Linked DNA regions of Lonchura striata. The protein of the gene in region 2 interacts with the protein of the main gene of each other region in a pairwise test. Links are inferred from orthologs where the notes say so. Each region holds a gene or a part of one and is shown on either strand. Other genes may lie near its edges.

Region 1 (7,356 bases), on a different chromosome or scaffold from region 2:
CATCTCCTCCAGCTCCTCGTCCGTCGTGTTCTTGCCAGCTGCAGGCACGTGGGGAGAGGTGGGAACAAGCCCCACCCAGTCCGGGAATAAGGGGCGGGGTCTGTGCCGCCTGGCTCCTCCCACTTGACCAAACTTGGTCAAATGGGAGGGGCCTGTGTGAGCTGGCTCCTCCCACTTTTTGGAGGAGGTGGGGTTTGGGGTTGGGTCACGCACTGATTTCCAGCTGGCGCTGGATCCGGCCCTTGCTGCGCTCCCGGAAATCCACTTGAGCCTCATTGTACTTGGTCATGACGTCCACGAACTTGCGGGACAGGACCGAGTGCTGGGGACAGGGACAAGGATGTGAGGATGGGGACAGGAACTTTGGGATTGGGACACCACAGGGCACGGTGTGACGCTGAGGGACATGGAACACCCCAGGCATGTTATATCCCCATGGGGCATTTTCACAGGGGACAGGAGCGAGGAGAGAGGTGTGACACTGCCCAGGGGACAAGCTGAGGTGCTGAGGGCGGGGATGGGAATTCAGATCAGTGACACTCTGGGCATGGCATGTTCCTGGTCCCAGGATGGACATGCTGGGAGTGGGGACAGTGGCATGAGAGCCAGGGGACCCTGGATGTAGCATGTCCCAGCACAGGGCGACATGACAGAGGGTTGGGGACAGAGCAGAGGGTCACAAAGCCTGGGATCACAGGGTGCTGTTGGGGATAGAATTGGGAGACTTGGGGCTCCTGGACATGCCACATGCCCAGTCCGTGGGGTACAGGGTGGGACCTGGGGATGCAGGCTGTGGGCCAGAGCTCACCTGGGACTTGCGTATCCGGAGGTCGGCTGAGGATCGTGCCTCGTCCTGCTCGATGTTCCTTTCCATACCTGGAGAGAGACAGACCTCAACCCACCAGGAACCTTTCCCACTGCCAGCCCCCATGATCCAGAGTCCCACGGGGATCAGGACACCCGTGACACGAAGGTGGGGACAGGGCCACTCACTCTTCAACTTGTTACGGACGCTGTTGGCCATTTTCTTGATCTCTGCCGTCAGCTGCTCCAGGTCATCTTTGGTCTCTGTGGGATCACGGGTGTGAGCCACCCTGGGAATGTCCCCGGGGGGGGCCCCGTGACTGACCCTGGGGACACTGTGACAGCACTCACTCTGCTCTGGGATGGGGGCTGAGAGGATGATGCTGTAGAGCTTCTTGGCTTCCTCCACGTTCTCTGAGATCTTGTCGATGTTCTGCCGGGTCTCCTCAATCTGGGCACCCCCGGGAGGATTTTGGGGGGTTAAGAGGCAGCCCTACACCCCCCAGCCCCACCCCCAACCCTCCCTCACCTCTGAGAAGAACTCATCCATGAAGGCCGTGTTGTCCACGGCGATCTCCAGCTCCTCCTCATCGTCCGCATCCTGCTTCTGCTGGGACACGGCGCTCAGGGGGGACCCCGTGCCCTGCCAGCACCCCCAGGGCCCCCCACGGGTGACAGGGACACGGGGGGAGTAGCCATGGGGGATGTGGTGGCACAGGGGGGGACATCTGCAGCGGGGGAGAGCAGGGGGGCCGAGCCCAGCTCACATCTGGCCACACGTGGCTGGAATTAAGGGATTGCTGGGCTTGGCCAGAGGGAGGGAACGGGGACAGCGACGGGATGGGGACGGGACGGGGTTTATGTCCCAAACCGTGGCCCCATGGCAGGTCTGGGGCAGCCCTGGGGGGCACGAAGGTGGCTGGTGCCCTTCACCCTGGTATCGTGTCCAGGCCCCCTCCCCTGTGCTCCCAAATCCCGCCCTTCCCAAAACTCAGCCTCAACCTTTCTGCCTCCCCTCACCCCCTCAGCTCCACCAGCACCCCAAGGTGTTGTTGGGGTGTCCTGGGGATGGGGACAAACCCCAGGCTGGGACCCCCCACTCCCTCCTCCTGCTGCTGGAGTAAAAATAAAATTAATCCCTTCAGTCCCCACCGAGGGCTTTATCTGATGGCTCCATAATCCCGGTAAATCCCTGCCAAGCCTCCCTGCCATGCCTAGGGGCCCGGCCGGGAGCTGGGGGCCTGCTGGGACCCCCACAGTCCCCGGGGAGCAGGGGGAGCCCCCCAGGAGCGGGGGGAAGCGGGGCCCCACACAGAGCGGGAAAAGGGAGAAGGAAGCGGCGCTGGTGGCGGGAACACGGGGAAGTGTGGGGTGCAGAATGGGGTGTGGACACCCCAAATCCACCGCCTCCCCCGCGGGATGGACACCCCCCACGGGCCGGGGGGCTGCTGTCCCCTCATCACACCCCACGGCGTGAAGGGATTGGACTCGGCTGGGGGGATGTCACGTCACCCCAAAACACCCAGCGTGCCCCCAAACTGCACGGGGATGACCTCCCCCCGGTCCCTCCCATCTGTCACCCCCGTTGTACAGAGCTCAGGGTCCCCCACCTGCCGTGGGGTGACCCCCGTGACACCCCACACCCAGCAGGGTGGGTCTCGGTGCCGTCCATCCCGTGGCGTCCTCGCCCTTCATGGACTGGGGTGTCCCCGAGACCCCAGCCCACTGTGGGATGGGGTCTGAGTCCCCCCATCCCCGTGACACCCCCACGCACCGTGGGGTGGCGTTTCAGTGACATCAACCCCGTGACGTCCCCATCCACCCCAGGCTCGGTTTTTGGGGTCCCCTCTCCCCGTGATGTCCCCGGCCACCATGGGGTGGGGTCTCGGGGACCCCCATCCCGGTGTCACCCTTTTCCCGAGGGTCCCCCTGGGGGAGTCCCCCGTCCCCTCCCCACGCCGGGGGTCCCTCACCGCCTTGAGCTGCTCCAGCCGGTCCTTCATGGTGCCCCCAAAGGCTGGGGGGGCGCGGGGGGGTCCCCGTCCTCGCCCAGCGCAGGGATGGGCGATGTCACCCTCGGTCCTCGCCGCTCGGCCGGGCCTCCTACATCCAGGCGAGGTGGCGGGTGGCCCTGTCCCCCGTGCCTGTCGCCGAGGCCGGGGCTGTCCCTGCGCTAATCCCCAGTGACGGGCGCGGGGAAGGCGCCGAGGGGAGGGACGCGGTGGAGCCGCCCCTTCACCTGGGACGCGCGGGGACACCGGACCCGCCGGAGCCGGCAGCTGCGGGTGGCCCCGGGCACCCCGGGAGGTGACAGGGGTGGGGGAGGATGTGGGTTTGGAGGCCATGAGGAAGCTGATCCCCCTCGGGGGTCACACGGTGAGGACGTGTCACCCCCTGCCACGTGTGACTGCAGCGGGAGCGCGGCTGGGGACAGGGAGCACGGCTGGGGACGGGGAACACGGCCGGGGGGACGCAGCTGGGGACACGGGGGGCGTGGATGTGGGTCACAGCTGGGGACGTGGCTGGGGGCGGGGGGACAAGTCTGTGGATAGGGGACACATCTGGGGACACAGCTGTGATCTCAGGACGCGGCTGGGGGACGCGGCTGGAGACGGGACATGAGCAGGCATAGGGGACAGCTTGAGGACATGTCTGCAGTTAGGGGACACACTGAGGGTCCTGACTGGGGACAGGGGGAGACACGGCTGGGGACGGGGGACGCGGGTGTGGGCATGACCGCGGGTGGGACAGGGCTGGGGACAGGGCTGGGCGGGCAGTGCTGGGGCTGGGGATGGGGTGGCATTGGCTATGGCCGGGGTGACACCGGGGGTCACGGCTGCGGGCGGGGACGCACGGGTGTCACCGGGAGAAAAAGGGACGCTACTCCTTTAAGAAATATAGAGAGGAGGCGTGGTCTATAGTGGGCGTGGTCTGTGTTGGCCCCGCCCCCTAGCCGACGGGTGGGTCGCGGGGCGGTGGCGGGGATGACGTCATGCGGCTGCGCCCGCGGCGGCGCATGCGCGGCGGGGCGCGGGGCCTGGCGGGGCGGCGCGGAGCCTGCGGGCGGGGGGCGCCGGCGCCGCCATGTTCCGGTACCCGGTGAGCGGGGAGGGGCCGGCGGGGCGGGCGGGGCCCCGCGGGGCTCCGCGGGGCTGCAGGAGAGCCGTGCGGCACGGCACCGGGGCGGTGTAACGGGGTGGGGGGGGTGTAACGGGCTGGGGCGGGGGAAGTGAAATGAGTTGGGGAGGGCGGCTGCTGACGGGCTGGCAGGGGGTGTGAGGGGGGCTCCGGGCTGGCAGGAGGAGTCTGGGGGCACTGGGCACCTGCAAGGGGCTGGGGGAGCCATAACGGGAGGGGTCACGCTGTGGGTCTGCAGGGGTCACTGCAGGGGAGATGTGACGGCTTGGGGGAATCCCTGCATGGCAGTAATGGCTGGGGGCATTGCCAGGGGTGGGTAATGGGGCTGGGGGGGTATCGCTGGCTGGGGGGGTGTGTTGTGTAGGTATGATGGGCTGCGGGGTCATCACGGAGGTGAAGTGGGGCTGACCCCGTTCCCGGCCGTCCCAGTCCCTGGAGGACTGCCCGCTGGACGAGGATGAAGACGCCTTCCAGGCCCTGGGGGAGGAGGATGAAGACATCGACCAGTTCAACGATGACACCTTCGGGGCTGGGGCTGTCGGTGAGACCCGGGGTGTCGCCCCCAGCCCTCCCTGACCCCACAGATGCCCCCGGCCCGCGTCCCTCACCCTGTGCCCCCTCGCAGACGATGACTGGCAGGAGGCCCACGAGCGGCTGGCGGAGCTGGAGGACAAGGCCGGCTCGAGCCGGGAGCCGGATGGTCCCGTTGGGAACGACGGGGACGTGCTGGGCGATCCCGAGGATGCGCTGGCCGAGCGGCTCACCCGCCTCGTCATCGACAGCGAGCTGGAGGACCCGGCCATCATGCAGGCCGTGCACACCAGGGATCCCCCGCAGGTGGGAGCGGGCTGGGGGAGCTGGGGGGATGTGGGGGTGGATCCCACAGCGCCGTCCTGACTCTCCCTGTGCTCTGCAGCAGCCTGGAAGGCTGAATTCCAGCATCTGGGACAGTTCCGCCATGCTGCGGCGCATCCGGGGGCCGCTCCTCACTCAGGTAGGGTGCTGGGGGCAGGGGGCTCTTCCCTGCTGATCCCAAATGCCTGTGGCAGCCAGCTGGGTGGGATAGACTACTCCTGGGATATTGGAGTGTCCTGTTTCCCTCTGCTGCATCCGTGCCTTGTGGGGGACCCTCATAGCTGTCACCTTCTGTCCACCCTTGGACCCTGGAGGGCTGGGATGATGGGCTTTGCTGTTCTTGGATGCCTGGTGATGTCTGAGGGATTTCAGGGCTCTCAGCAGGATTTGGGAATGTTCATGCCTGGAGGCAGAGGATTTTTGTGTTGTGGTTTCATTAAGAGTCAGGCTTTGAAGTGCTGCGTGTCCAACCCTCTCCCAACCCTTTCCTGGCTCTGCCGGGCTGGGAGGTGACCCAGGCTTCTCGCCCCACGCCCTGTTATCCCAAACAGAGTGCTCTTGGCAGTCACGTGTGCTCTGGGAATGCCCAGCGTCGCACGGAGATGCCAGGGAAGCACAGTGGGACATGGAGAGCTGGCAGGAGGAAGAGGGGACGCTGACCCTCCTCCGTATGCCAGCCCGTGACTCCAGGGGGTGTCCCGCCCATTCTCCTGCAGGAGATGCCGTCGGTGTCCGTGCTGGATTATGCCCTGCCCCAGAGGCCGCCGCAGGCTCGGGATGAGGAGCGGGATCCATCGGAGCGGGCGCTGCCCCGGCGCTCCTCCTCCCCCATCATCGGGAGCCCCCCGGTCCGGGCCATTCCCATCGGCACCCCCCCCAAACAGGCCGCCATCCCAAACTTCAACCAGCAGGTATCCGTTTCCTCGCTTCCCAACTTCCTACTGCTCCCAAGGGTGCAGGCTGCTTCCCAGGGGGAGTGACTGTGCCACTTGCCTCCTCCCAGATCCTGTGTCCCAAGCCTGTCCACATCCGAGCTACCATGCAGCAGCGTTATCCTGCTCCCTATGGAGAGAGGATGTCCCCCAACCAACTCTGCAATGTTCCGGTATCCAGCTTTCCCTCCTCCATCTTTTTTGGAATTGATGCCGAGCCCTCACAAAACTTCCCTGTGTTCCTGTGCCTCATCCCCACCCCAGGGAGCTTGGCTTTCCTGGGGTTTGTCCTGTTTGCCAGCCATGGTCTGTGACTGGGGTCCCTTTTCCCAACTCTTTCCCCAGAATTCCTCCCTCCTGGGCCACCCGTTTCCCCACAGCGTGTCTCCTGTTCTCACACACCTGCAGAGAGCCCAGCTGCTCGGAGGAGCCCAGGTAAAGCTTCCCGTGCTTTATCCCACCTTTCTCTCTGCGTGGCTCCAGGACCTGGCATTCCATGGCTCTTGTTGGCCATCCCAGACCCTTTTCCCGCCTAGCTGACTCCAGGTGTCCTCTCTGCCCCTCCAGGCTGGCCGAATGTCCCCCAGCCAGTTCGCCCGGGTGTCCGGGCTGGTGGGGAGCCCACTGCCCTCCGTGAATCCCAAGCTGCTCCAGGGCAGAGTTGGGCAGATGATGTCCCCGGCCGGAGGGTTCCGTGCCTTTTTCGGGGCTCCCCCCGCCCCGCCCCCGTCGCAGCTGCCGCACCCTCCGGGCCCCGGATCCCACCTGCAGAACCTGAGGTCGGTGCTGTCCCTGTCCCGGCATCCCAGCCGCTCCCTGCATCCCTCCCTGACCGTTCCCGCTCTCCCCAGGCCACAGCCCCAGATGTTCCGGCCGGACACGACCCATTTGCACCCCCAGCACCGCCGGCTCCTGCACCAGCGGCAGCAGAACCGGAAGTGAGTGCGGGGACGGGGACGGGGCCGCGCGGCACGGGGACGTGTCCTGCTTCCGGGGTCACCTGTCCCCCCCCTCTCTGTCCCTTCCTGTAGCTCCGGTGTGCTCACGGGTGCCCTTCTTCTCCTGCCAGCCAGCACCGGAGCCTCAACGGCTCCGGGGGGGACCGAGGGGGCCACCGGAGCAGCCATCAGGAGCAGATCCGTAAGGATCCCTACGCCAACCTCATGCTGCAGCGGGAAAAGGACTGGGTGTCCAAGATCCAGATGATGCAGCTGCAGAGCACTGATCCCTACCTGGATGATTATTATTATCAGGTACTCAGGAGCAGCATCTTCCCCCTGTTCATTGGATATCAGGTGGGAAGGGGATGTCAGTTCAGGGAGAACTGCAATGGGTTGTTTTCCTCCCTGGAAGAGGAAGGCAGTGGGACAGGGTGGGATCAGCGTCACTGGGAAGAGCTGACTCCTTCTTGGGCAAGATTTCCAGGAGTGAGGAGATGTTGGGATAGACTGGTTTTATAGGTCTGGGATAACAGGAGAGCAGGTCATCTCCATCAGAAGCGTGACAGAGCCAGGATAAAACCCCTGGAATGAGACAAGGGAGATGGTAAATGGAAAACTCAAGAGAGATCCTTGTCAGGGAAAGGTTGACTTTAGTCTGACTGGGAATGGTGGTGATGAACCCTGTG
Region 2 (7,330 bases):
TCTCAGTGGGGTTTTGGGGTGTCTGTTCCCCGGTCTCAGGGGGTTTTGGGGTGTCTGTTCCTCAGTCTCAAGGGGTTTTGGGGTGTCTGTTCCCGGGTCTCAGGGGGTTTTGGGGTGTCTATCCCCAGGTTTCAGGGGGTTTTGGGGTGTCTATCCCCAGGTTTCAGGGGGTTTTGGGGTGTCTGTTCCTGGGTCTCAGGGGGGTTTTGGGGTGTCTGTTCCCCGGTCTCAGGGGGGTTTTGGGGTGTCTGTTCCCGGGTCTCAGTGGGGTTTTGGGGTGTCTGTTCCCCGGTCTCAGGGGGGTTTTGGGGTGTCTGTTCCCCGGTCTCAGGGGGGGTTTGGGGTGTCTGTTCCCCGGTCTCAGGGGGGGTTTGGGGTGTCTGTTCCCCAGTCTCAGGGGGTTTTGGGGTGTCTGTTCCCTGGTCTCAGGGGGTTTTTGGGGTGTCTGTTCCCCGGTCTCAGGGGGTTTTTGGGGTGTCCCTCCTGCAGCTATGAGGTGCAGCTGGAGAGCCGGGTGAGGAGGAGGGGGCTGGGCAAGTTCCTGCTGCAGATCCTGCAGCTGGTGGCCAACAGGTCAGAGGGGTCTGGGGGGAAACTGGGGGGGTTTGGGGGGGACTGATGGGGATTTTGGGGGATTCTGGAGGGGTTGTGGGGAATGGAGGGGGTTTGGGGGGGATTTGGGGGGAAGGGAGGGGGTTTTGGGGGAATCTGGGTGTCGGGGGGATTTGGGGGGGATGTGATGGGGTTTGGGGGAGGTTTGGGGGCAGAACCAGGGGGAGTTTGGGTGAAATGGGGCAGTTTGGGGGGGAACTGGGGGTGTTTTGGGGTGAACCCAGGGCAGTTTTGAGAATGCCACTGGGCCGGTTTTTTGGGGTGAAACCGGCGCAGCTTGGAGCCAAAGCAGGGCAGTTTTGGGGGTTCCACGGGGGCAGTTTTGGGGGTTCTACCAGGCTGGTTTTTGGGGTGAAACTGGGGCAATTTTTGGGGTGAAACCAGGGCAGTTTGGAGCCCAACCAGGGAAGCTTTTGGAGTGAAACCGGGGCATTCTTTGGGGTACCATGGGGCTGGTTTTTGGGGTGAAACCAGGGCATTTTGGAGCTGATGCAGGGCAGTTTTTGGGGTTCCCAGTCCGGTTTTTGGGGTTCCCAGTCTGGTTTTGGGGTTCCCTGGGGCGGTTTTGGGGTTCCCTGGGGCGGTTTTGGGGTTCCCAGTCCGGTTCTGGGGTTCCCAGTCCGGTTTTGGGGTGACCCGCGCCCCGTGCCCGCAGCACGCAGATGAAGAAGGTGATGCTGACGGTGTTCAAGCACAACCACGGCGCGCTGCAGTTCTTCCGCGAGGCGCTGCAGTGAGTGCGGGGACACCGGGGACACCGGGGGACACCGGGGGACACCGGGGACACCGGGGGATACCGGGGACACCGGGAACACCGGCACCGGGAGGGGACACGGGGGGACACCGGGGACAGCTGTGACAGCTGTGGCACCCTGTCGTTGCAGTGACCGGGCGCCGCGGGCAGGCGGGGCAGGGGCACAGACAGAGGTGGGTGCTCGGGACCCAAATTCGGGGCTTTCGAAGGCCATTCTGGGGAAAATTTCCCTGTTTTTGGTCATTTTGCTGTCAGTTTGGGATCCCCTTTTGGATCCTTAAAAAACCCATTTTGGGTATTTTAACCCATTTGCAGTTGTTTTTTTCAGCTGTTTGAAACTAATTCTCCAACATTTTTTCCCTTTTCCCTTCTATTTTTTTATACCAAGGCTTTTATCCTTTTCTATATTTATTTTAAGCCTATATTTATAGGTTCTATATTAATTTTTTGGGTTGTTTTGGTCCTTTTCTGGGGGAATTTTAAGCTCATTTTATGTTTTCTTTCCCTAGTTTTAGAGAAATAATTTTAACTCTCTGTTAGTTTTTTAAACACATTTTTGGGGGTTTTGGTCCTTTCCTGAGGATTTTACAAACCCTTTTTTCAAGGTTTTAGTCCCTTTTCCAAGATTTTCCCCCATGCTTCTTTTTCATCTTTTTTAACCCACTTTTCCAAAAGTTTTTCCCCTTTTCCCACCAATTTCCACAACCTTTTTTCTGCTTCCCGTTACCCAAATCTGGCATTTTTAACCCCAAATTTCCAAGGACATTTTACATTTCCCTTTATTCCATTTTTCCATTTTTTGCTTGTTTTCCACCCATTTTCCCAGGCTTTCAACCCCTTTTCCCCAGATGGTTTTTAACCCTTTCTCCTCTGATTTTTGGGGTTTTTTACCCTTTTTTGGGTGCTGCTCCCCCCCCCCAGCCTTTCCCCTCCCATCCCCTCCCACTGCCAGCCTGGGGGGTGATGTGGGGGGGTCAGGGTGACAAGGAGGGGGTCCCGGGGGGTTTCTGGGGGTCAGGGGGCGTTTTGGGGGGTCAGGAAGGATCCTTGGGGCTCAGGGGGGTGGCGGTGACCCCGTGTCCCCCCCGTGTCCCCCCAGGTTCGAGGTGGACGCCACCTCCCCCAGCGTGTCCGGCTGCTGCGGGGACGATTCCTCCTACGAGATCCTGAGCCGCAGCACCAGGTTCGGGGACCCCCACCCCGGGGGGGGCCCCTGCGCCGGCTGCTGCCACTGAGCCCCCCAAAAACAGCCCCGCGCCCGCCCGGCGGGACCCCCGGGGCGGGTGACACAAACGGCCCTTCCCCCCGTGCCGGCGGCGCGGCGCTGGGCGGGGAGGGGGATTTTTGTGCTGGATTCGTATTTTATTTTTATTTTATTTTTATTTTATTCTTTATTTTTATTTTATTTTTTCTTTCTATTTTTTTTTTCCATTTTATTTCTATTTCTATTTTATTTCTATTTCTATTTTATTTCTATTTCTGTTTTATTTTTTCCTTTTTTTTTTTTTTCAGCCGTTTTGTTTGTACGGGATAAATAAATAAATAAATAAATAAACGTCAATTGAGGCTCTTGCGCTGGGGGCGTGGCCGTGCGCGGGAGAGGCGGGGCTATGCTAATGAGCAGCGCAGCAACTCGCGCGGCTACGAATAAATTATGTTAACGAGGGGGCGTGGCCATGGCGGGACGTAGCGGCGCGCGGCGGAAGTGACGTCAGAGCGCGCCGCCGCCGCCATGCTGCCGCCCGCCGCCCTCCTCGCCCGCTCCGTCCTGCGCGCCGCGGCCCGGCCGGGCCCGGCCCCGCGCGGGCTCCGCTCCGGGCCCGCGCTGAGCCCCGTCAGCACCGCGGTGAGCGGGGGGGGGCGGGGTGACCCGGGCGGGGCCGGGCCCCGGTGACCGGCGCGGCTCTAACGGCGCCGTCCCCGCAGGACACCGTGCTGGGCCTGGCCGCCGTGTTCGTGTCCATCTTCGGGCCCGCCGCCTGGGTGCTGGGCCACATCCAGGACTACCGCAAACGCGAGGAGTGAGGCGGGCCCGCCGCACACCGGGACCAGCCGCTGCGGGAGCCCCGCGAGCACCGGGACCAGCGCCGCGACCGGCGGGAGGCGCCGCCGCCGCCCATGGGACCCTCCCCGCTCCCCCCGCCCCAATAAAGGAACCGCGGATTCCGCCTGAGCCTCTGTGTCCGTCCCGCCGTACCGGAACCGGGCCCTGACGTCACCGGGGCGTCACGGGGAACGGCGCCATTGGGGGGGGGGGGGCTCGTTCCTGGGGGCGGGGCCTGTTGCTGGGGCAGATCAATTCCACCAATCAGATCGCGGCACAGCTCGTTGCTGGGGGCGGGGCTTTATGCAAGGGCAGATCAATTCCACCAATCAGATCGCGGCACAGCTCGTTGCTAGGGGCGGGGCCTGTTGCTGGGGCAGATCAATTCCACCAATCAAATCGGGACTCTTTGCTGGGGGCGGGGCCCCGCCCCTCCCGGTGTCCCCGGGCTCGGGGCCGCCATTCCCGCTCCGGTTTGGGGGGCGGGGTCTCATTTGCATACCGTTCCCGCCATTCCCCGCCGGCGGGAGGCGTTGCAGTGGGCGGGCCCCGTTTCAGCGGGCGTGGTTCCCATCCCCGCCCTCACCGGGGCGTGGCCTCTCCCCGTCCCCTCCCGGAAGTACCGGGGAGTTCTGTTCCGGTGCCGGCGGCACTTCCGGCGGAACGGACGTGGCAGTGACGTCAGCGCGGCCGGAGCCTCCCGGTGGCGGCGGCCGAGCCCGCGGTGAGGGGGGAGGGGCGGCACCGGGACCCCTCGGGGGCTCCGGGGCGGCGCCGGTTCGCGGGGGGCTCCCGGCGCGCCCCGTTCCGCCGCCGGTAACCGGTGCCGCCGGTGTCCCAGGGCAGGCGATGAGCCCCGATGCAGGCGCGCCGCCGGCTCGGGCCTAGGCAGCGCGAACCGGGCGCGGCCCCGGCGCCCCCCCGGGCGGCGGCGGCGCCTCCCGCGCCCCCGGAGCCGCCGCCCGCCGACGTCATGTCGTGTCGCGACAGGACCCAGGAGTTCCTCTCCGCCTGCCAATCGCTGCAGGGCCGCCAGGTGACCCCGGCACCCAAACCCCCCGGGAATTACCGGGGGTCTCCCCAAACCCCCCGGGAATTACCGGGGGGTCTCCCCAAACCCCCCGGGAATTACCGGGGGTCTCCCCAAACCCCCACCCCCCCCATCCCGGGGGTCCCCCCTGACCCCCCGTTTTCCCCGGTTCCCCCCCAGGACCGGGGGCTCCCGGCGGGCAGGGCCGGGCCCGGGCCGGGGCGGCCGCGCAGCGAGTTCAGCCTGATGGCAAAGTGAGGAGGGGTCTGGGAACCCGGGAATTCGGGGTTGGGGTCCCCCAGGAATCGGGGCTCGGGATCCCCGGGAATTGGGGTGGCGGTCCCCAGGTACGGCGGGTCAGGATTAGCCCGAATTGGGGTGGGGGTCCCCCGGAATGGGGCCGGGGGTGTCCAGGAATTTGGGGTCAGGGTCTCTGGGAATTGGGGGTTGGGGTCCTCAGGATCTGGGAGTAGGGGTCGCCGAGTGTGGGCGGTCAGGATCAGCAGGAATTGGGGTGGGGGTTCCTGAGAACTGGGGGTTGGAATCTCCAGGAATTGGGGTGGGGGTCTCCAGGAATTGGGGGTTGGAATCCCCAGAAATTGGGGTGGGGGTCCCCGGGTATGGTGGGTCAGGATCAGCAGGAACTGGGGTGGGGGTCTCCAAGAATTTGGGGTCAGGATCTCCGGGAATTGGGGTGGGGGTCCCCAGATGTGGGTGGGGGTCCCGAGGAATTGGGGCGGGGGTCTGCAGACCCCCCCCAATCCCTGCCCCCCCCTCCCCCCAGGCGCATCGGGAAGGACCTGAGCAACACCTTCGCCAAGCTGGAGAAGCTGACCCTGCGTGAGCGGGGGGCTTGGGGGTCCGGGGGGCTTTGGGGGGCTTTGGGGGTGTCCTGGGGGGATTTGGGGGTCTCTGGGGGGCTTTGGGAGGGTCAGGGGGGATTTGGGGGCTCACGGGGGAGTTGGGAGGGCTCAGGGGGGATTTGGGGTGTCAGGGGGGATTTAGGGGGTCTCAGGGGGGATTTGGGGGGGTCTCTGGGGGATTTGGGGGGTCCTGGGGGGATTTGGGGGGTCTCTGGGGGTCTCTGTGACCCCGCTGACCCCCCCGCAGTGGCCAAGCGCAAGTCGCTGTTCGACGACAAATCCGTGGAGATCGAGGAGCTGACCTACATCATCAAACAGGTGCGGGTGGGGGTCGGGGGGTTTTGGGGGGTTTTTGTGGGGGGGTTTTGGGGTGCCCCTGACCCCCGTGCCCCCCAGGACATGGGCAGCCTGAACGCGCAGATCGCGGCGCTGCAGGAGCTGCTGCGGGCGCGGCGCGGCCCCGGCGGGCGGCACCTGCAGAGCCACTCCAGCGGCGTCCTGCTCTCCCTGCAGGTGGGCCGGGGGCTTCGGGGGATTTTGGGGGGATTTTCGGACTCTTGGGGGGGTTTGGGGGATTTTTGGGTGGGTTTTTTAGGGGGTTCCTATGGGTTTTTGGGGGTTTTTTTGGGGGTGGTTTTGGATTTTGGGGTTTTCTTTGGGGGGTTTTTGGGAGGTTTTGGGGTTTTGGGGGGGTTTTTAGGACTTTTGAGGGTTTTAGAGGAGTTTTGGGGTTTTTTTGGGAGGTATGGGGGTTTTGGGTGGGTTTTGGGGGGTTTTTGGGAGTTTTGTTGGGGTTTTTGGGGGGTTTGGGGGGTGTTTTTGGGGGGCCTTTGGGAGTTTTTGGGGAGGTTTTGGGGGTTTTTTGGGGGATTTTTTGGGGCGGCTTTGGAGGGTGTTCGGGGGATTTTTTGGGGGGTTTTGGGAGCTCAGGGGCCCCCCAGTGACCCCCCACCCTCCCTCCCCAGTCCAAACTGGCCTCGATGTCCAACGACTTCAAATCGGTGCTGGAGGTGCGGACAGAGGTGAGCGGGGCTGCTGCAGCTTTTCCTTTCCCTCTTTTTTCCTTTCCCTCTTTTTTCCTTTCCCTCTTTTTTCTTTTTTCTCTTTGCTCGCTCCCTTCCTCTTTTCCCATTTTTACCTTTTTGCTCATTTCTCATTTTTTTTCTTGTTCTTGTTGTTACAATTTTTTATCCTTTTCCCGCTTTTTTCTGCTCCTGATTTTTCCTTTTCCTTCACTTTTCTTTTTTTCACTTTTCTGCTGCTTTCTCACTTTTTCTTCTCTTTCTCCAATTCTGTTCTTCTCCTTATTCCACATTTTCCCAATTTCTCCCCATTTTTCTCTTCTCTCCCCATATTTTCCCCCTTTCTTTGCTCTTTCTCCCCCTCATTTTTCCCCCTATTTCTCCCCATTTTCCCCCCATTTTCTCCACATTTCCCCCCCATTTTCTCTCACCTTTTTCCCCATTTTCCCCTGGTTTTGCCCCAGAACCTGAAGCAGCAGCGCAGCCGTCGGGAACATTTCTCCCGCGCCCCCGTCTCCGCCCTGGCCGCCAACAACCTCGGTGAGCCAGGAATTCCTGGGAATTCCGGGGGGGAAAGGGAATTTTGGGGGGGGTTCTGGGTGGGAAATGGGAATTTTGTGGAATTTTGGGGGAATTACAGGTGATAAAAGGGGAATTCTGTGTGGGAGATGGGAATTTTATGGAATTCAGAGGGAATTTGGGTGATAAAAGCAGAATTCTAGGTGGGAGATGGGGATTTCTATGGAATTCCGGGTGGGAGATGGGGATTTTTTGGAATTCCGACTGGAATTTGGGAGATAAAAGCAGAACTCTGGGTGGGAGATGGGGATATCTATGGAATTCCGGGTGGGAGATGGGGATTTTATGGAATTCAGACTAGAATTTGGGTGATAAAAGTGGAATTCCAGGTGGGAGATGGGGATTTTTTGGAATTCAGACTAGAATTTGGGTGATAAAAGTGGAATTCCGGGTGGGAGATGGGGATTTTATGGAATTCCGGGTGGG

The links. The genes of interacting proteins can lie anywhere in the genome.
Region 1: the proteins of STX5 (region 2) and STX3 interact in binary tests that used the Homo sapiens proteins (3 or more experiments, as listed by UniProt). The link is inferred for Lonchura striata from reciprocal best matches to the Homo sapiens genes STX5 and STX3.

The regions. Positions count from the first base shown.
Region 1 is NC_134608.1:53,791,689-53,799,044, forward strand, and holds the start of STX3 (syntaxin-3), read right to left. Parts: upstream 3,009-7,356; 5' UTR 2,808-3,008; coding exon 2,778-2,807; intron 1,412-2,777; coding exon 1,334-1,411; intron 1,256-1,333; coding exon 1,156-1,255; intron 1,069-1,155; coding exon 994-1,068; intron 877-993; coding exon 809-876; intron 323-808; coding exon 214-322; intron 39-213; coding exon 1-38. Other genes in the region: PATL1 (protein PAT1 homolog 1), read left to right, coding at 3,148-3,180, 4,372-4,483, 4,568-4,779, 4,859-4,936, 5,514-5,708, 5,801-5,902, 6,075-6,164, 6,297-6,508 and 2 more. UniProt on the Homo sapiens protein: Potentially involved in docking of synaptic vesicles at presynaptic active zones. Apical receptor involved in membrane fusion of apical vesicles.
Region 2 is NC_134638.1:359,366-366,695, forward strand, and holds the start of STX5 (syntaxin-5), read left to right. Parts: upstream 1-4,325; 5' UTR 4,326-4,383; coding exon 4,384-4,446; intron 4,447-4,620; coding exon 4,621-4,694; intron 4,695-5,224; coding exon 5,225-5,280; intron 5,281-5,550; coding exon 5,551-5,621; intron 5,622-5,699; coding exon 5,700-5,816; intron 5,817-6,268; coding exon 6,269-6,325; intron 6,326-6,789; coding exon 6,790-6,865; intron 6,866-7,330. Other genes in the region: NAA40 (N-alpha-acetyltransferase 40), read left to right, coding at 490-573, 1,268-1,345, 1,497-1,539, 2,466-2,549, 2,879-2,908. UniProt on the Homo sapiens protein: Mediates endoplasmic reticulum to Golgi transport.